Linked DNA regions of Callithrix jacchus. The protein of the gene in region 2 binds, or shares a complex with, the protein of the main gene of each other region. Links are inferred from orthologs where the notes say so. Each region holds a gene or a part of one and is shown on either strand. Other genes may lie near its edges.

What was found.
Region 1: ARID1A (region 2) and SMARCC2 share a complex: the UniProt entries of both Homo sapiens proteins name them as parts of the neuron-specific chromatin remodeling complex. The link is inferred for Callithrix jacchus from reciprocal best matches to the Homo sapiens genes ARID1A and SMARCC2.
Region 3: ARID1A (region 2) and SMARCD3 share a complex: the UniProt entries of both Homo sapiens proteins name them as parts of the neuron-specific chromatin remodeling complex. The link is inferred for Callithrix jacchus from reciprocal best matches to the Homo sapiens genes ARID1A and SMARCD3.
Region 4: ARID1A (region 2) and ACTL6B share a complex: the UniProt entries of both Homo sapiens proteins name them as parts of the neuron-specific chromatin remodeling complex. The link is inferred for Callithrix jacchus from reciprocal best matches to the Homo sapiens genes ARID1A and ACTL6B.
Region 5: ARID1A (region 2) and PHF10 share a complex: the UniProt entries of both Homo sapiens proteins name them as parts of the neural progenitors-specific chromatin remodeling complex. The link is inferred for Callithrix jacchus from reciprocal best matches to the Homo sapiens genes ARID1A and PHF10.

What each region holds. Positions count from the first base shown.
Region 1 is NC_133510.1:63,474,085-63,478,159, reverse strand, and holds the start of SMARCC2 (SWI/SNF complex subunit SMARCC2), read right to left. Parts: upstream 2,806-4,075; 5' UTR 2,781-2,805; coding exon 2,670-2,780; intron 623-2,669; coding exon 503-622; intron 1-502. UniProt on the Homo sapiens protein: Involved in transcriptional activation and repression of select genes by chromatin remodeling (alteration of DNA-nucleosome topology).
Region 2 is NC_133508.1:63,425,952-63,429,462, reverse strand, and holds part of ARID1A (AT-rich interactive domain-containing protein 1A), read right to left. Parts: intron 3,065-3,511; coding exon 2,857-3,064; intron 1,724-2,856; coding exon 1,591-1,723; intron 1,410-1,590; coding exon 1,234-1,409; intron 870-1,233; coding exon 719-869; intron 638-718; coding exon 503-637; intron 419-502; coding exon 322-418; intron 1-321. UniProt on the Homo sapiens protein: Involved in transcriptional activation and repression of select genes by chromatin remodeling (alteration of DNA-nucleosome topology).
Region 3 is NC_133512.1:96,971,951-96,975,461, reverse strand, and holds the end of SMARCD3 (SWI/SNF-related matrix-associated actin-dependent regulator of chromatin subfamily D member 3), read right to left. Parts: intron 3,267-3,511; coding exon 3,171-3,266; intron 3,013-3,170; coding exon 2,911-3,012; intron 2,703-2,910; coding exon 2,541-2,702; intron 1,598-2,540; coding exon 1,500-1,597; intron 1,322-1,499; coding exon 1,186-1,321; intron 815-1,185; coding exon 692-814; intron 571-691; coding exon 469-570; intron 231-468; coding exon 177-230; 3' UTR 47-176; downstream 1-46. UniProt on the Homo sapiens protein: Involved in transcriptional activation and repression of select genes by chromatin remodeling (alteration of DNA-nucleosome topology).
Region 4 is NC_133503.1:13,071,630-13,075,889, reverse strand, and holds the start of ACTL6B (actin-like protein 6B), read right to left. Parts: upstream 2,809-4,260; 5' UTR 2,727-2,808; coding exon 2,702-2,726; intron 2,252-2,701; coding exon 2,175-2,251; intron 1,959-2,174; coding exon 1,793-1,958; intron 1,494-1,792; coding exon 1,393-1,493; intron 1-1,392. UniProt on the Homo sapiens protein: Involved in transcriptional activation and repression of select genes by chromatin remodeling (alteration of DNA-nucleosome topology).
Region 5 is NC_133505.1:176,378,843-176,382,971, forward strand, and holds the start of PHF10 (PHD finger protein 10), read right to left. Parts: upstream 2,809-4,129; 5' UTR 2,525-2,808; coding exon 2,246-2,524; intron 1,767-2,245; exon of another isoform or gene 1,200-1,766; intron 1-1,199. UniProt on the Homo sapiens protein: Involved in transcription activity regulation by chromatin remodeling. Belongs to the neural progenitors-specific chromatin remodeling complex (npBAF complex) and is required for the proliferation of neural progenitors.

The DNA.
Region 1 (4,075 bases), on a different chromosome or scaffold from region 2:
GCTGAAATTCTTTAACCCCTGTGCCATTGCATCATGTGGCCTGGAAGAGGGGAGTGAAAGAAACCAATATATGCTAACACTTTACTGAATTACCTCAGCTACCACTATAGAAACCCTACAAGGTAGATTTACTAATCCCATCTAGAGATGAAGGAACCAAGACTGATGAATGTTGCCCAAGGTCACAGAGCCATGAAGTGGCAAAGCCAGGATGTAAACACAAGCCCGCGCAAATCCAAATCTCAAGACCCCCTTTCACCATACCATGAGAGACTCGGGGACTAATCTCAGGCACTCTGCACAAAGTATTACTAAGACAAAAGGAATGGTAAATTGGGGACTAGGCCAAGCCAATAATGCCCTGACCAGGGATAGGAATGGTAGAAAATAATCCAAATTTCAAAAATTACAAAATTCACAAATATTTTAAAAAATACAACTCTCCAGTTTGAAGGATTCACCACCAGCCCCCCCCCACCCTCCCCCCAACTTCAGCACTCACCGGCAGTTTAGTGAGCGGTGCATTGCTGACATGTTTGCCAAAAACTTCTTCCTGAAATTGTAGCAACTGTACAACAAGGCTAGACAGGGACTTGTTGGTGGGTGGTTCAGCTTGTATATACTAGGGATAAAGAGGGAAAGAAAAGAAAAATAGACCCCAGATGAATTGTCCACTATCTCCCATATTTCTCCCCCAGGCACTCTGGAAGCATTTGGAGCAGAGAAAATAGTGTCTTTTACTCCATTTAGTCTCTATAAAGAAAATGGCAGAAGGGAGACCCTGGACACCCCAACCAGGAAGCTGAAACACTGCTGCCAGCAGCCCAGGTTGCCAGTGTGGGGGAAGAGGGAAGCTTACTACTCATCCTCAGCTACACTCTGAAATTGGAGCTGCAGGACCCTAGTACTTTGGCACCTCATCTTCAGCCCACAGCACTGAGGGCTGTAAAATTCTGGAGGTTTACAGAGATGAGGTCATGGAAGCAATACCTCTGGGGCTCTACGAGAGACAAAAGTGTATTTCTTAGGGGAACTCTGTGTAAAGCCATGATTCCCCCTATAATGTAGCCTAACAAGAAAAGGTCAAGGAAGTCAAGGAGGGCAAGCTGACTGAGAGAGTGAGCTTGTGCATTTTGCTTCTGAAGAATGGGTATAAACGTCTTCATATGCCCTCTTAGACAGGAAGGGCCATGGGCTACTTAGCCTGATGGAGAAGAGCAAGACATCTACCCTGTCGGAGGAAACTGTATCTGAGACAAGTAACCCTGGTCCTGCTTCACTGTTTCCACATTATGCTACCTAGCAGCATCCTAGCCTTCCATTCTAATTTGAACCTGAGCCAGGAGACTTTCTTTTTACCTTTTGACCTGTTTTCTCCACCCTCATCACAAAGAAGACAGCACCTCTCAGTGAGAGGTGAAAAGATATCTGTGAAGGGAAAGGTAAATGACAAAGAGCTAAGAGCATGGAAGCTGAACCAGGTCACAGTTGTCAATCACCCCAAGGCTACAGGCTAAGCCCCTAGCCTAATCTCCCTGCAAAAGGTCAAAAGGCCTGGGAACAAGAGCCTCACAAAGGGGCAGAGACCAGCCATAGAAACAGCAGCTATTTGTCAGGATTCTGACACCCAGAGAGACCCCAAGGGCAGGACTAGTCTCATAACCAGGATCAGCAGGAAGTTCTCCTAAGCCACTAAGCACACTTCTGACTAGTTGCAAAGCCGGCAGGAAGAACCAGGGAGCTGAAAGAAAGCCACAAAGAGAACCCCTCTCTGGGAGTAGTGAGAAAGAAGAGAGGCAGACCATTTCCAGAGAAAACCAGGCCTAGAGACAAAGACGACACCAGGAAGAGGTTTAGTAGAAAAGACAGGTAAGGATTCCTGAACCCTTTGTTCACTACCTTATGATCTCCAGTTCTGGGGTTAGGGGGTGAGGAGCTAGAGACAGAAAGCTCACCCTAACCTCTGGACCCCAAACCCAGGGTATTGCAAAGCTAGGTTGCAGGGTGACTTCATTGTAAAATCGAGGAAAGGTTTCAGAAGGGGCCGCTACCCAGGAACTCCTATACCCCGGCTCCCTGAGAGATTCTGTTTCCCCTTAGATGAAGGTGGGGGATGAGCGGCGGAGACAGGTGATCCCAGGGTGGGGACCTTTTTCAGGCTGATGAGCAGCCAGCGGCTTGCTGTGTGACTGTTTACCCTCCTGCTTTCCATCCTCTCTCTCTCTGAACATATACAAAGCACTGGGGAGGCCTCAGCCCCGCTGGTACCTGGCTCCGTGGGGAGCTCTGGCGGGCATGCTCGGGTTTGCGGGGGAGCTCACTGGGCACCCGGTCCACTCCCGGCCGGCCGCCTCTCCCAGAAAAGCCAGGAGGGCGATGGCTGAGGGGGAAGGTGGGCTAATGGCATCGGGGCCCGCCGGGCAGTGGAGAAAAACAAGGGGCAGAGGGCGCAGCAGTGAGGGCGGGGGCTGGGCTCGGAGGCTGGGGGTGCGGGGAGAGGGAGGCTGGGGGAGGGGCGCGGGCGCGCGGGAGGGCGCGCGGGGGGCTGCTCCCGAGGCCGCGGGGGAGGGGCCGGGGCGGCTGGAGGGTGGGCAGGATCCTGGGGCTGCAGGGCCGCTGTCCCTTTGTCCCGCCCCCGGTCGCCAAGCGGCCCGGCCCGGCCCGCGTACCTTCTTATAGTTCTTGCCGAGCCACAGCCGCACGTTGTCGAACTGGGTCACGGTGTCCGCGGCCTCATAATACTTCACGTTGGGGCCGCCGTCCTTCTTCCGCACCGCCATCTTCTCGGGCTCGGGCCCCGCCGCCGCCCGCCCCACTCAGCTCAGCTCCCGCCTCCTCTGCCTCCTCCTCCGCCCGCCTCCCGCCGCCTCCCGCCGCCGCGGCCGCCGCCTCCCGCCGCCTGGGCCGGCCCCGGTCCGCGCTGCGCCCCCTGCCGGCAGGCCGGGCGCGGCGGCGGAGTTCCTGGTGCGGGACGACCCTGGCGGCCTCCCCGGCAGCGGCGGCGGGAGCCTCCGGGGAGGAGGACGCTTCCTGGAGGGGGCGCCATTCTCCAGAGATAGCTCTTAGCAGACGCGAAGCCCTTTTCCTCTTTTTGCTTCAGCTCGGCAGTATCACCTCGCCATCCCACCCCGGGCGGCCGCCGGTCCCCAGAGTGGCTCTCACCTTGCGCATTCCTAACCCCGCGGAGCCCCTAGTCCTCCAAAACCCAAACCCCTTTCCCCAAGAAGTTCCTTCCTTCCATCCATTCCCAGGAGCTGCCTATTTAAACTCTTCTGAGTCTCCCTCACCTCTCGCGCCTGGTCCCACCCAGCACCCCCCTCACTTGTTAACCCAAAAATTCCCTAGCCGCCACGCTGGGGCCCCAGTCCCTTCCCTCGGCTGCTTCCTCCGCAGGCCTCGCCATCGCCTCCTAAGTAGCTGTGAGCTCCTTGAGACCTCGCTCTTCGCTAGGCAGGAGGCCCTCCCTCCCTGGGCCACCCGGTTCATCCGACTCTTTTTCTTTGAGTGGCATAGATAGGAGGTAAGGAGCTAGGGGTGGGGAGTTCTATGGTGTGTGTTTCGCGGCCGGGCCCCCGCTTTCAGTTCTTGTATGCCTTTCCCGGTTGCAGTGCGGACCCCTTCTGTAAGCGCGCGATAAAGCGCGGTTTTGGAAGTCACGGTGGCCGAGTGGTTAAGGCGTTGGACTCGAAATCCAATGGGGTTTCCCCGCACAGGTTCGAATCCTGTTCGTGACGATGGCCTTTTTTTTTTTTTTTTTTTTAATTAAGACGGAGTCTTGCTCTGTTGCCCAGGCTGGAGTGCAGTGGCGTGATCTCAGCTCACTGCAACCTCTGCCTCCCGGGTTCAAGCAATTCTCCTGCCTCAGCCTCCCGAATAGCTGGGACCACAGGAATGTGCCACCAAACCTGGCTAATTTTTGTATTTTTACTAGAGACGGGGTCTCACCATTTGGCTAGGCTGTTTTTGAACTGACCTTAGGTGATCCGCCCGTCTCAGCCTCCCAAAGTGCTGTGATTACAGGTGCGAGCCACCGCGCCCGGCCTGATGGCGACTTTTTTAACCCCCTTCCTAACAT
Region 2 (3,511 bases):
CAGACTCCAAGGAAACAAAGGAATCACCTTAACAAACTGTCTTTTTAAGTTGTTTCCAAAAGCAACCACCACTCTTTCTTCCCCTCCCTTGCTCTAAGTAGAAAAATATATAAAACCTAAAAATCAAAATAAGATCTATTTCTAGCCCTTTCCAGCTCCAAACAGAAGAGATCGAGGACTTGGCTCTTTGGGCCCAAATGGCCAGTCAGGTGAGAGAAGAATGCCAAAATACTTAAAGTGAGCTTCTTAGACTTTAACACATTAGTAACTATCTTTCAAAGGGAATCTACATGCTAGTCCATTCCCAGCTACCCTCCTCACCTGCTGCTGCTGTGGATACATTGTGGTCTGTTGGCTGGGGAAGGGGCTGCCAGAAGGGGTGCCTTGGGTGGAAAACTGATTGCCATAGGAATCATGTCTACAGGAGGCAAAGAAACACATGATCAGGGTGGGCAGTGGCAAAGTCTGAGTCACAGCAGCACTGGGAGCAGGCTTTACTCACCGTTGCTGCTGCTGCTGCTGCTGTGGGGGGTAGCGGCTAGGAGAATACATCCCCGAGTCTGGGTTAGAAGGCATGAGATTCGGTTGTGGGGCCCCAGTGCCCATGTTTCCCTCAGGCCCTATTCCAGGCTCCGTCCTAAAGAAAATTGGAGAGGTGGATTGAGCCCACTATAGCTCTGGGTGCTGGGGGATGGATAGGAGCTGGTGCCATGCTTACCTCACTCTGTCATAAGGACCTCCATAGGGATAGTGCTGTCGTGGTCCCATTGCCACATTTCCAAGACCAGGGCCGGCAGCACGGCTGTAGGGGTCACCCATCCCGCCGTTGGGGCCCTGCCCTGAGGACATGAAGGGATCACTCCCTGGAGCTGAGTGTATAAAGGCAGGCAGTGAACAAACTGGCAAGTTGGCAAGCCTAGTAATCTACACTTTGCCTGCTCCAAAGACCCAGGCCCTTTTCAGAGTTCAGGTTTGATCTCACTGTTTTCCAGACAAGTTCAAAACAGAGTTCTAAAGATGCCCCAACCAGCAAAAAGCATGTACTTGTTAAGGGATGTCAAGGTGAGGCCAGGGAAGAGACAAAGGAGGTAGGGATGAAGAGGGGTAGTTAGGACAGGAAATGCATTATCTCAGAGATTGGCTCCACAAGAACCCTGAATCACTCAAGATTTTCCCCCATTTCACTGGCCCTGTCTTTAAGAGTACAAGTTCAATAGCAATCAGATCAGTCACCTTTCCTCATGCTGCCATAAGGATCCTTATTTGGCTCATAGGACATGCGCCCCATCATGTCAGAGGTATTCATACTGGGCTGATACCCAGGGTTTGGAGTCATGGAATTCCGCTTCTGGAATGTGGAGTCACTTCCATCATTAAAGGCATCCTGGATCCCAACCGAATTGCTCCTGCTCCAGAGTGAGGAAAATCAATTAAACCCCAGATAGACCAATTCCTCCAATATAACACAGGACACGCAGGAGTCACTGGCTGAGAAGGCAGAGGCAGGGACCACCCTTGGGCTGCAAAGGAGTTCCCATGCACTTATCTCCAACCATCCCCTCAACCATCCACCTCTGCTCTTGGCCTTACCTCATGCCTGGCAAGGGAGGGATCTGACTGTGTGGTGTGGATGCTGGAGTTGGTGGCTTTAAGTCTCCTCCTTCTGCCATGGAACTGCTGGTTGACTGAGGAGTCTGGGGCCCCTGCATAGATCCTGATCCCGCTGTGGACAGAGAAGCAAGTTGAGCAGTTTGCTTGGTATGGAAGTGTTTAACTCTCACAAAAACACATGAATGACCCAGAATCTCTTTGAGAAAGTTCTTCCTAAGGCCTTTCAAGCGTGATCACCATTCTTATCAGAAGATCTGCAATATCCAGGTCATAAAGAAGGAAATTTGAGGGTTTTGTAGCTCTTTTTGTTTTACATGTAGAGAAGAGAAGTGATGCGGCCATGACATCACTATGCTGGTGATTCCTTGAGTCACTGCCAGCTTCCCTGGCTATTTCTCTTCACTTCTCCAAGGACCTTGTCTAACCTATTAAATCCTGTAATGCTGGTGCAGGAGCTCCAGTCAGAACCTCCCAAATCCTGGGTAGGGTGGAATCCAAATCTGGGATGCATTTTAGGAGCCTAGGAGAGCTCCTGTTCTAAAGCATCCAGCATAGTGTCATCCCTCAAGTTCAAATGTTCTTCTAAGCTGATAAGCACAAAACTACTAGTAATTTAATGTTTCCAATAGTTACCATTCCCAGCAGTAGATATCCCACTGCTGAGGCCTCCCCAGCTGATGAGTCATCTCAGGCACTCATTACACCCTCAGAGGTCAACACCAGGGCACATGTGTTTACACCCACCTTCCAGGCACCCTGGCCTTCTTTCCTCCCCAGGCTCGCCCTAGGTCTCAGCCTCCTCTCAGAATGGAGGGTAGGCAGAGGCACTCCCATCAGAGAGTTCCATTCATATCCCTTCCCCACTCCCTCCTCATTCATTACTATCTCAGCTCCCTGGGGAATTCAGGGCTCTAGTGTGAGCTGCATTCTAAGGTGCTGACATCAATGGGCCAAAGCTTCCAGATGGCCCTGCTTTGCTGCCATTTGTCAGTTTCCCCACTCTTCTTGTGCCCCTCCCATTCACCAGTTTACAAACATTTGGCAAGTTGCCAGGTGCACAACAAAAATTAAAATTTAAGGGCTGCTGAAGAGTACCTCCCAGGGAAGTTTCCACTGCCCACTCTCTATTCAGCCAACCTGTTAAGACCTGTGGTAGGGCAAGAGCACAGATCCTTGGCATATCCTGCTGGAGGCAGGTGCAGTAGGCCCTCTCAGCCTTAGTGGGGCTGCTGACCCCATCCTTACCAGGAGAGGGAGGCTGGATCTTGGGCTGGGACTTCTTGGAATCGGCAGCTGCAAAGATGTCTGGGGGAGGATCTTCTCCCCGTTCAATCTTGCACTCAAAGGCATAGAGACACTGGATATACTGCTTTTTCAAGGAGCTGGCAGCACTGCTTGATGTGCCCACATTGAGGTTTGTTGCAAGTTCCCGCCATTTTTTGTTCTTGTTGACCTGTATAACCAAACCACAAGAGTCGGGGTATATCTCCTGCCTGGTTTTCCTGTCCATAAGCCACAAGCCCTATCAGGCTGCAAGGTAATTCATTTTTGTAGAATCACAGTTCTTAGGTAATTACAAAAGTTAATCTTGCTTGGTGGATAGTTCACAACAAGTGTTAAATCCAGTTTTTTAGTATACTGCCGAAAAATGGTGTACAAATCATCTGCCTATTTAAACCCTACTTTTTCTGAGACAGAAAAAATAAATCTCGCTCTGTCGCCTAGGCTGGAATGCAGTGGCACGAGCTTAACTTGCTGCAATTTCTGCCTCCCGGGCTCAAGCGATACTCTTACCTCAGCCTCCCAAGTAGCTGGGATTACAGGAGTGCACCACCACACCTGGCTAATTTTTGTATTTTTAGTAGAGACAGCATTTCACCATGTTGGCCAGGCTGGTCTC
Region 3 (3,511 bases), on a different chromosome or scaffold from region 2:
CTTTCCTCCCCCTTGCCTCCCCAGTTTCCAATGACCACATGGCTGCTGTCAGATGAATAACTTTTAATCCAGCCCCGCACCCCAAAGCGGCAGAGGAGTGATGCCAGAGCCTGGGGTGGAGCGCTGGAGCTCTGAGTGCGGCCAGAAGGTCCTTCGTGCTGCTTGTTCCCGGGCTCCTAGGTGTTGCGCACAACCAGCGACTGCTCCAGCTCCTGCCTGCGCTGCTGGATCTTTAGAGGAAGTGAGAGCAGGAGCAGGTGTCAGTGTTCCTGGTGAGTGATCAGGACCACCCCACCACCTGACACTGCCCACCCTGGAAGAGCATCTGGGAGCAGGGGTCTGCTGCATGGTCAGGCATTGTGGTGAAGCTTTACTGTGGGGAGCTAAGAGGGCTGCCCACAAGCTGAACAGGGAGGTTTCTCTTGGAGTTGAGGAGGGGGAAGCCTCAGGGCAAGGGACCCTCCATACCTTGCAGTAGAAGTAGCGACTGACGGCCTCCTGGGACCAGGGCTGGTGGTAGAACTCAGCCCGGCGCTCCTCTTCAGGGTTGCCAGCTACATCTGTCATCACCTGGGAGGGGGCATGGGGTCAGCCCTGAGCTCCAGATCCCCTCACCTGCCCTGGAGTACATTTACTGTCTCTCCTGATGTGCTTGTCTTCTACTCCAGTACTCCCTGAGTCTCCCTCTCACCTTGAGGTCCCGGCTCTGGGAGCGGAGCAGATCTTGGACATAGCCTTTGGGGTCTCTGGAGAAGCTTAGCATGAAGTCCCTCTGGATCTTGAGCTGATTTATGGACTCAATCGTCTCATGGATCTGCAGGTAGAAAGATAGATGCTTTCCACCTGGCTGTGGTGATGTGGGAGAGGGAGGGGAAAAGGAGGTGGGTGGGAAGGGGAGGGAGAGGGGTTTTCTTTGGTGAAAGACAACACCTCAGAGCCCCTGATTCCTCTGAAGTCCCAGGGGAGGAGGGGATGGGCAGAACTAAATTTGGAATAAGGTTCAACTCCAAGTAGCATGGAAGGGCCATGTGTACCCCACTGGCCCACACTCTGGTCGCTTCTTTTTCTTTTCCTTTTTTTTATTTAACCCAGACTGCTCATCTGCAACCACACCCTGGTCTCAGAAAAGTCTGCTTTATCATCTCTGGGTTAATGTCCCATTCCAGCTCTGGGCTTGGGCCCCACCTTACTGTCCAGAGCACTGATCTCCTGCTGGTTGGCTGTGGACAGGAGGAAGCTGCTCATCTGCCCCTTTAATGGCTCCTCCACCTCCACATCAATGTCATAGCATGCCGTCTTCTTCTGGTCTGAAGGGTCCACACTGCCAGGGAAGTGCAGCCCTCAGTGTTCATGATGCCCCTATAGAGGCCCTAGGGCCCCGGGGTGGGGGCAGCTCCAACAGGGAGGGAGAAAATACGGGAGTGGGAGGAGAGGGAGGGGCAGGGAAGGCAGGAATGAGATCATTCCCTGGTCTGAGAAGCAAGCTGGGGCCACCTCACCTGATGACATGGTTGATGACAATTGGGTCAGGGGGCAGTAGCAGGGCTGTGAGGCGCTGGGGAATCTCAGAAAACTTCAGCCGGGGACAATCAAAAATCTAGCAAGACAGTTGCAGGGAGAGATCACTCTTGGAAGAGATCATCACGAAGTTGTAGATCCTTTGGTTGTAGAAAGGCCTCAAGAAGCTGAGAGTGAGTCTGATTCCTCAGTGCACAGGGGGATGGGATTGGGGTGGGCTGGTCTGGTGGTGGAGCCACCAGCACGGCTGACAGGGCCTGGGGTGGGTCAGTGTGGGGCAGGTTGAGAGTGCAGGCCCTGGGCCAGTCTATGTATCGGTCCTGCCTCTCCCATCACTATGCAGCCATGAGCAAGCTGACACCTCAGGCCTCTGTCTTCATCTCTAGAGTGGGGGTGAAAATAATATCTATCTCAGGGCTGTCGTGAGAAGTCGGTGCTAATGCACATAAAGTGCTTGGAACAATGCCTGGCACATGGTAAGTGCCCAATAAATATCAGCTGCTATTTTTACTCCTCAGGTTTATCTGCCGTATTTATTTTAAAATGCATTAATAAGAATACTCTCTTTTGGTGGAATTTCGCTAAGTCCCTTTTGCAGCAATTTGATCTTCCCTAACTGCCCAGGAGAGTAGACGGGGCAGGTATTATCACTCCACTTCAAAGATAAGGAAACAAGTCACTTACCCAGAGTCCAGACTCAGGACTAGAACCTGGGAATCCAAACTCCAGGTGCCAAGAATATTACATTCCAGAAAGCAGTTGGCTTTGTAGGGTTCCAGGTCTTCCTAACTTGGGGGGGCGGGGGCGGGGGCTAAAATGGATTGGCTGCAGCACAGAGCTAATCCACAGTAGGACCTGAACTAGAATCCTGGTCGGTCTCTTGGCTCCAAGACCATAACTCTGTACTGCTTCTGCTACTCAGGAAACTAGAAGGGAGGGTGGTAGTTACCTTGGTAGAGGTACTTCCCCTGCTGGAGAACTCTGCCTGATCCCCAGGCCCCTGGGTTCAGGAGGGAGGTTACCTGCTGGAAATACTTGTCCCCATTGATGTATTCCTTGTCATGGGAGTCCTGCAGCCTGTTGGTCTTCACATACTGCCACAGGGCCTGGACGATGGCTGAGCGGCTCTGTGTGTGCAACCCCAGCAGCCGTGCTAGACGGGGATCCAGTTTGAACTGGGGAGGCTGGGAAAAGGGGACTGTGAAAGTTAGATCAAAGGGAGAGAATGGAAGGAGCCCAGGGCCAGGCCATTCAGGACTAGGGGGATGCGTTGACTGAGGGAAAGACAGGGTTGGGAGGGGAAGGAGGTCTCTCAAGATGGACCATGTTGGGACCTAGGCCTGCCCTAAGGGCCTCATGTGACATGTGCGGGGCAGCATGGCAGATGCAGACCTGGTAGTCCAGCATGAGGAGCAGCGTGCAGCGCACACTCAGGTCCCCAGGCCGTTTCACCTGGAAGCCGTCCGTCTCCTGGGTTGTGGGTGTCCGATGCCACTGTCCAGGAGAGAAGAGCTGGGTCACCCAAAGGCCCATCTGGAGCGGTGGGGCCCAGGACTCTAGGGTGGTCCGTGATCCAAATCTGGGCTGGTTCTTCAGGGATTCTGGCCTGTGGGAGGGTGGCAGTTCAAGGGCAGAGGGGATCTTGGTCTCACCTCAACGAGGTGGTTATCAGGGCCATAAAGATCTTTGTCCAGCTCAATGACCAAACTCTTGAAGAAAGAAGAGAACTTCCGCTTCTGTTTGCTGGGCTGTGGGAGAGAAACAGGGACCGTGGGTGCAGAAAAGGGACTGGGGGCAGAAGAAGGCCAAGTTGGCAGCAAACAGGGCAGCGGGCTTAGATGAAATCCTCTGCACCCGAATGTTTCTAGGCCTGCCCTGCCCTGCCCTGCCCTGCCCTGGACCGGCCTGACTCTCTAGCCCTTAGTGCAGACACCTAGTTCTGTTCTCAGTGCAGCCCAGGCCCACCCTAGGACACCTGGAGAGACCTGCGCCG
Region 4 (4,260 bases), on a different chromosome or scaffold from region 2:
AATTATCTCTAATTTAAAAAGAGTCTAAATACTGAATACTGATTTCTTTTATTTATTTTTATTTTATTTTATTTTGAGATGGAGTTTTGCTCTTGTTACCCAGGCTGGAGTGCAATGGTGCAATCTTGGCTCACCGCAACCTCTGCCTCCTGGGTTCAGGCAATTCTCCTGCCTCAGCCTCCTGAGTAGCTGGGATTACAGGCATGTGCCACCATGCCCAGCTAATTTTTTTTTTTTGTATTTTTAGAAGAGATGGGGTTTCACCATGTTAACCAGGATGGTCTTGATCTCTTGACCTCGTGATCCACCCGCCTCGGCCTCCCGAAGTGCTGGGATTACAGGCTTGAGCCACCGCGCCTGGCCCTGATTTCTTTTAAAGTCTAAAATACAACTGGTCTGGATGCGGTGGATCTCACCTGTAATCTCAGCAATTTGGGAGGCTGAGGCAGGCAGGTTGCTTGAATTCAAGACCCAGAAATTCCAGACCAGCCTGGACAACATGGTGAAACCCTGCCTCTACAAAAAATGTAAAAATCAGCTGGGCGTGGTGGCTCATGTCTGTAGTTCCAGCTTCTCCGGAGGCTGAAATGAGAGGGTCACTTGAGCTGAGGAGGTAAAGGCTGCAGAATCGTGCTGCTGCACTCCAGCCTGTGTGACAAAGTAAGAGCCTGTCTCAAAAACAAACAACACAACCCCAAACAACCACAACAACAGAAGCCACTGTACTTAAAGGTGGGTGATGAGAAATCTGTGTGGTATAGGCTGGGGAGGAAAAGAGAGCTAAGCGACCATTTTCTAAAGTGGAAAATTCATAGATAATACCTAAAACAAAAAACTCCACAGGCTGCAATTTAAGTGTGATATTAGAGATATGAAAGAAAATACTCCAAAAATTAGCTCAAAAGGGAGAAAAACAGTTGCTTTTATACAGGGGGAAATATAAGGAGGCAGGTAAGAACATTTAAAAAATGTCTACCGGCGCCCGCCATCACACCTGGCGAATTTTTTGTAAAAATACAAAAATTAGGCATGGTGGCGGGTGCCAGTAATCCCAGCCACTTGGCAGGTTTAGGCAAGATAATTCCTTGAACCCAGGAGACACAGGCTGAGATCTCGTGATTGCACTCCAGCCTGGGCAACAGAGTGAGACTCTGTCTCAAAAGATTAAAAATTTAAAAAGGACTTGGAGACGGAGAAGGGCAGCAGAGTAAGATAGAGCAGGAAAAGAGCAGGAGGGCTGGAGACAGCTAGGAAGGAAAGAAAGTGGTGAAGATGGAAAAGGGAGGTCAAGTGGCTGAGAGTGGTGGCTTGAGGGGAGAGGAGAGGTGGATGGTGGGAATGAGGTTCGGTGGAGATCAGGGCCGGACGTGGAGGTATGGAGTAGGCACTCACCGGAGCCTCGGACATGAGCACTGGGTGCAGGTTTGGCTCAGACTTGACATGTTTGCTGTAGGTGTGATCCAGGATGGCTCGGAAGCACTCCCAATCCTCAACTGGGGCCAGAAGAGCAGCACAGAGACGCAAGAGGGCAGGCAAGGGTCAGGGACAGGAGGAAAAGGAGGGAGGAAGGCCAAGTCCAAAGGAGGGTCAGTGAGTCCAGCTCCAGGGGAACACCCTCCTTCCCAGAAACCTGATGGGCCCCTGGGATGGGAACCAGGCAGCTCAGGGAGGCAGTGAGAAGAACCCTGGGACTGCAAGGAAGAATCCTTGGGGAGTTGGGGCTGCTATGTCCCAGATCATGGAGAGTGAGCTCCCTGTCTGTGTCAGGAGGTGATGGGTGAGGGCCCCTTACTCATGCCATTCTTCAGGGGCGACATGACCTCTGCTCCATCCCGAGGCACGTGCAGGGCATTGGTGTCGATGTGAAAGATCTTCCCTTTCTTCTCTTTGTCCCCCTCCAGCTCCAGCCCGCCCCCCTCCTCCGCGGCCAGCAGCCCCACCGTGGTGGGGAAGTCAGCCTGGTGGGGAAGGGTTGGGGGAGGATCGGCAGGGAGAGGGGTCACCTTCTTGCCCCTGTCCAGCCCCACAGCGGGGTCCTCAGCCCGCCCCTGGGTTTATTCCCGCATTCCCGCTCAGCAGAGCTTCTGGGCGATCTGGGAGAGCCCTGGGTCACTGGAAAGCCCGAAGAAGGGTTCAGAGCCCCTAGAATTTGGGGAGGAGACTGAAAGGCTCACCTTGGGGCAGTCCTCCCCAGCGTACCCAGCTCGGACTGAGAAGGAGCCAATGTCAAAGACCAGCGCCCCCACCTCATCTGTGCGGGGAAACAGGCCTGTAAGGGGACTTCCCCCGAACTCTCTCCCGCTAGGTAGCTCCGAGAGGAAGTCAGGGCAGAGCCACAGTCTCACTACTTTCATCACCAGTCTGGGGCAGGTGGGACTGGAGTCCGAGGTCCTGGGACTGGGGGCAGGGGCATCACACCGCCAGGTCCCTGCTTGCCCAGTGGACTTGCTCAGGTCGCCCTCCAGACGGGAAAGGAAGGGGCCGGGGACCAGTTGGAGGTGGGTTGCAAGGTAGAGAGGTTGGGCCCGGTGCGCGCGAGGCGTGCAGGGAGGACCGAGCGTAGGAGTGGCGGGAGACCCAAGCCTGGGACCGGACCCATTCGTGCACGGAGGTGACAGGCCCCGGGGTGCCCAGAGCTCGGATCGATGACGCGGGTTCGGAACGCAAGGCTGCGGGAGCCCGGGGCCCAAGGCTCGCTCACCTCCGCCGTAGACGCCGCCGCTCATAGTGCCCTCTGCGCGGCTCGCGGCCCGTGGGCGGCGGCGGGATCAGCACCGAGGCGGCCGGACAGCTCCCGGGATCCCGGGCGGGGCGGGGCGCGAGGCGGCCAATCGGGAAGCCGGATCCCCCGCCCCCAACGGCGCCGCCGATTGGCTGCCAGGCGAGACAATGACCCGGACGGGGGCCGCTGCTTTAAAGGGAAAGACGTCCCCGGTTAGGCGGCCGGGAGGAGATGGGGCAGGGGGCTCCCAGCAGGGACTTAACCGTTCCTAAGGAACGCGTGGCAGAGAGGAGAGAGCAGGAAAGAGGAGGAGACCAAGACTCTGTAGGACGACTGATGAGGTCCTTACCCCCTTGCTTTTTAGTTTTATTATTTTAATTCTTTTGGTAGAGATGGGGTCTTGTTATTTCGCCCAGGCTGGTCTCGTACTCCTGAGCTCAAACGATCTTCTTCAGCCTCCCAAGTAGCTGGGATTACAGGCAGGTGCCAGCACACCTGGCTAATTAAAAAAAAAAAAAAAATATATATATATATATATATATATTGTAGAGATGGGGTCTTGCTGTGTTGCCCAGGTTGATCTCTAACTCCTGGCCTCAAGCAATCCTCCTACCTCAGCCTCTCAAAGTGCTGGAATTATAGGCATGAGCCATCTCGTCCCTTCTCTATTCCCTTACCTTTTAAAGCAGGGTTGCGGAGAGAACTCCAGTACCCAGAAGGGTCATCTATCTTCAGGCTGCTGTGAGCCCGGTTTTGCCAATCCCGGGCCTAAATGGAATCACTGAGAGAGGGAGGGAAGGGAAGATTGAGAGAGAGACCAGAAGGAGTGTGTCTCCATCTCTCCCTGTTTTTTCCTTTTTTTTTTTGACACGGACTCCTGCTGTGTCGCCCAGGCTGGAGTGCAGTGGCGCGATCTCAGCTCACTGCAACCTCTGCCTCCTGGGTGTTCACGTGATTCTCCTGTCTCGGCCTCCTAAGTAGCTGGGACTACAGGCGCGTGCTAATTTTTTGTATTTTTAGTAGACACGGGGTTTCACCGTGTTAGCCAGGATGGTCTTGATCTCCTGACCTCGTGATTCGCCGACCTTGGCCTCCCAAAGTGCTGGGATTACAGGAGTGAGCCACCGTGCCCAGCCTTTTTTTTTTTTTTTTTTTAAGACACGGACCCTCACTATGTTGTCCAATTTGGTCTCGAACTCCTGGCCTCAAGTGAGCCTCTCGCCTTGGCTTCCTGAGTCATTGCGATTACAGGTGTCAGCCACAGTGCCAGACTAGCAAAAGATTTTCTACTGCTTGGACCCCAGGTTCTTCTGGGCTCCTGGCACCACAGTTTTGGTAGCAAAGACGAAGAAGCAGCTCTGACACCTTGGGGTAGCTGACACACACACCTTCTGTGAGGGTGTGTGTGTCTGTATGTGTTGGCGTGTGTGTGCATGTGTGTACATATGCACATCTGAATGCTTGTGTGTGTTGAGCATGTGCCCATCTACTTGTTTGGGGGTGAGGGAGCTTTGAGACCAGAGATGGCACAGGAAGTG
Region 5 (4,129 bases), on a different chromosome or scaffold from region 2:
CTCAATTCAACTAGGCGCCAGTTTATAGGACAATTTTGACTACTTTAGGCATTTATGCCCCTGTGAAAAGAGGACATACAAGACTGAAAACAGATTATCAATTCTAACTATTCACTTTTCTTCTTACATTGCTATAATTTAGCAAAAATATACCCTAATAAGGGCCATCAATCTATAATACAGCAACACACAAACCAAGAAGAGGGTTGAGAGAGGGAGGGGATTTTTTTTTTTTAAGAAGCTTATAGATTTTAACTGCAATCCATTATGTGGCAAGAATATCAAGGTTATAAATTCAACCATCTCACTCAGTAAAAGTATCAGACGTTAGGAAATTGATGTATTTACATATTAGCCAAGGCTTAAGGTCTAAAAAGGATACTTTGTAAAAATGTAATATTGCTTTTAACTCGAATCCAATTTTACTAAATACCAGGGTCCTCTTGCTGCATATTAAAATGAAAGCAACCCTGCAAAAGAATATAAAGTGGCAATATGGCATAGTGCCAAGGCATGCCAAACCTGGACAGCCTGGATCCTCAATGCACTCACTAGCTGGGGTTACTTTCTGTGAGTACTTTCCAATCTGAAAATTTGAGACTATAATATTGCCCCTATTACACAGCTAATTCAATGATTAAATGAGCTACTATATTAAAAGCACTTACAACAAGAACTAGCAAATAATTATGTCATAATATTAGTTAAAATGATGATTATGATAATCAAGTCTCAAATGTCTCTAGCTCCTAGAAATTTACTGGTTCTTTTCCAAAGATATGTATTCTTTTTCAGACCTTATAAAATAAGCATTTCATGAAAGACCTCTGCGTAGCCTAAATCTACTCTGAAAATTTGCATGTATCACAACTGCAACATTTCATATTCAGTACTTGCAACATAACTCATTTTAAGCATTCCATTTTTTATCTTTTTTGTGAAAATTTTAAGGATTTTTATATCCTTAAACATCAGCATATTTCCCTTTAGCTAAAAAACGGAGACACTGAAATATATACAAAAATAAAAAGAAACTGAAAAATGTGAAGTGCTCAAAAAAGCTGAGAGCACAATTTTATACACAGTGTTTTAAATTGCTACCATAAATTCTAGGCAAAGGCATTATTATATAAAGTGAGCATGTGCGCAGCGGGCCTTCTTCTAGAGGTAGGTAGTCACAGCAATATTGCTCCCAATACCTGACGGAATAAGGTAAGAATTTGCAACCGCAATCCCGGTACAGAAGCCCATGTTTACAAAGGCTCAAAGCTGTGCCTTCCAGAGTTCCAAGTGGTTTCCACCCACAGGTTAGATGAGTTTCTATGCATCACATCCTTCCTAAGGTGCACTCAGGGGGCCCTGGCTCAGTGCCTCGGTGCCCTCCAGGTGCCGGGCCAGACGTCCGATGCTGGCAGTGCGGGAACGTGCGTTCAGCCTTACTCTAGTTACTTCCATGGGCGGGAGTCTCTCTGACAGCAGGATGGACGTGCGCGGAGGGAGGAGCCCCGGGCAGGCGCAGCCCCGCCAGGCTGCCCCAGGACGGGTCCCCGCCAGCGCGCACACTACACCGCCTTCTCCTTTCAGCTTGCCGATTTCAAGCGTTGCGGTTTTTAAAACATCACTCCTCCTTCCAACCTTCTGTCCTCCCTTAGCCGCTGGCCTAACTTAGAACCGAAACGTTTGGATGTGTGACAAGCCACTGTCATCTCCTTCTCGCCACAATCGCCGAGTTCTTGTCGCCTCCCAGCAGTACGAAGCTTAGAAGCAGACTTCCGCTGAAAACATCCGGACGCCTGCGTACGCGCTGACCCGCACCGAGTTCACCGTGTGCATTTTCCGCCTCGTTCGCCAGCGTGTTCTGCAGTGAGCTTTCAAACACTCCGGCAAACTATGCCCGGAATGCAGGCCCCTGCGAGGCCGCGTCTCCCCGCCCCGGGCGCGTTCCGTCCCGCAGCTGGCCAGGGAACAGGCGTCTGGGGACAGTCTCGTCAAACGCGGCCGGCCGCCAACTTCAGGGAGGCCGCACCGCCCGCCCGCCCGCCCGCACTTGTTGCTCGCTTGGGGCCGGGGGCTCCTCTCCGGGCCCCGCCTCGCCGACCACCGCGGGTCTCAGGGGCAGCGCACAGCCTGCGGCCCACGCCCCCGAGACGCCGGCCGGCCGCCGGTGGGACTGGGCCGAGACCGCGGAGCCCCGGCCCCGGAGAGGGTCAGAGTTGGGGTCGGGTCGCGCAGGCCGCTTCCTCACCTTCGGGGACTGCGCTCCGGGAGTGGCCGGGTCGCTTTCGCACGGCCGCGGAGACAGTGCCGCCCCGGGCCCGGCCGCCGCCGCCGCCATCAGCCCGAGCGCCCCGCGCCGCCGCCGCCGCCGTCGCCTCCGCCTCGTCCCGGCCGCCGCCGCCGCTGCCGCCGCCACCGCGCGGGCCCCCCGCCGCCCCGGCCCCGCCCCCTCCGCCCGCCCGCCCGGGGGCCGGCCCCTGCCGCCGCGCGCCCCGCGGCCCGCCAGCGGCGCCGCCGCCACCGCCATGGCCGCCGCCAGCGCGCCGCCCGCGCGGGAGGGCGCCGGAGGCTGGGAGGGCGCGTGGATGTGGGCCGGAATGGAGGACGCCCGGCGGCGGCGGCGCTCCTCACGTCAGCCCGACCCGCCCGGCCGCCGCCCCCCACAGCTCCGCCGCTGGCCTCACTGCCGCCGCGGCTCCCTTCACCTCCGCCGCCGCCTCAGCCCCGCTGCTCCCCTCAGACCCGCAGTTGCCTCAGCCCCGCCGCCGCCCGGCTCCCCACGGCCCGGCGTCGTACTCGGCCGCGGCTCCCACCAGCCCGCGGCGCGCCCCACCTCCCGCCCGCCCTCCGGCCCGCCCCGGCCCGGCTCGTCTCCACTTGGCGCACTGGCAGCCGCCCCCTCCCCGCGGCCCCCAGCCCGGCCCGGCCCCTACGCGCGTCACCCTCTCTCCCTCCCTCTCTCCGCGCCCCGCTGCGCTTGCCTTGCCTCGCCCCGCCCCTCTTGGGGGTCCCCGCCCCGCCCCCTCCCTGCCGGGGGTCGCCGTGCCCCGGAAGCCGCCCGGGGACTGCCCGGCCTCTGCCTTTGCGCGCTCGCAGTCGCCGCCCCTCGCCCGCCTTTGTTCTCGGGCCGCCCCTCTCGCTGGCGCGCCGGAAGACAGCCGCGGAGCCACCTGTCCCGGCCGCGCTTCCCGGGGCATCCGCAGTTGCCCCGGGGGGCCGAAGGCGCCCGCCGAGGAGCGTGGGGAAGGCACGGCGGGAAAAAGTCGCCGAGATTCGGCCCGCGTGCCTGCGTTCCCGCGTGGTTGATGCCTCCGCCGAGGACGCGGGTGGCGGGGAGCCGGGGAGGGGCCTGAGGCCGGCTTGGCAGGTACCCCCGGGAGAACGCGGAGCCGGTGTATGATCTCGGCTGCGTCTGGGCTCCCCTGGGACCTCACGTGAGGAGCCGAGCTTGGCCAGTCCGCAGCTGCCATCACGGCCTCCCTCACCTGCGCCTGCAGATGCTTGTTCTGGAAGGTGGAGGATGCGCTCAGATTCAAAGTACAATCCCGCTTCCTTTCCATTCATTGTTGTTGCCTACGCCCCAGCAACAGAACTTCGGGAAGACAAAGGGATGATTTCTAGGATGTCGCATTGACAACCACCGTCACCACGCCCAGCCCAGCCTGGCTCCTTGCTCCGGTCCGAGAGGTCCCCACCGACGGTGCCAGGCCTTCGAGCCCTGCTGACCCAGCTTCGTTCTCGCAGCTGAGGCCAGACGGGCCCTGTTCCTCAGTCCTGCCCCGTGCAGGCGTCAGCCTCCACTGCACTCCTTGTCCGAATCTGCCAAGAGGCAACTGCGTCTTTCAGCTAAATTGTCTTCATTCATCAGGACCCTCGCTCAGACTCCCCGGATAGAGTTCAGCGTTTAAAAAAAAAAAAAAAAAACCTCTGCGGCTATCTGCATTGTGAAAGCTGTTACAAAATGGAGTCAAGGAAAGCCACGAAGGGAAGGTTCTCACTAATAATAGCCTGATATCAAGAATTAACACAAAAAACTGCCAAAACCACAACCTTGCACAAAGGCCACAAAACTACACAAAAAGTGCTTTAAGGACATGTGCACAGCTACTGCTGCCCAATCTTGGACCGGCAT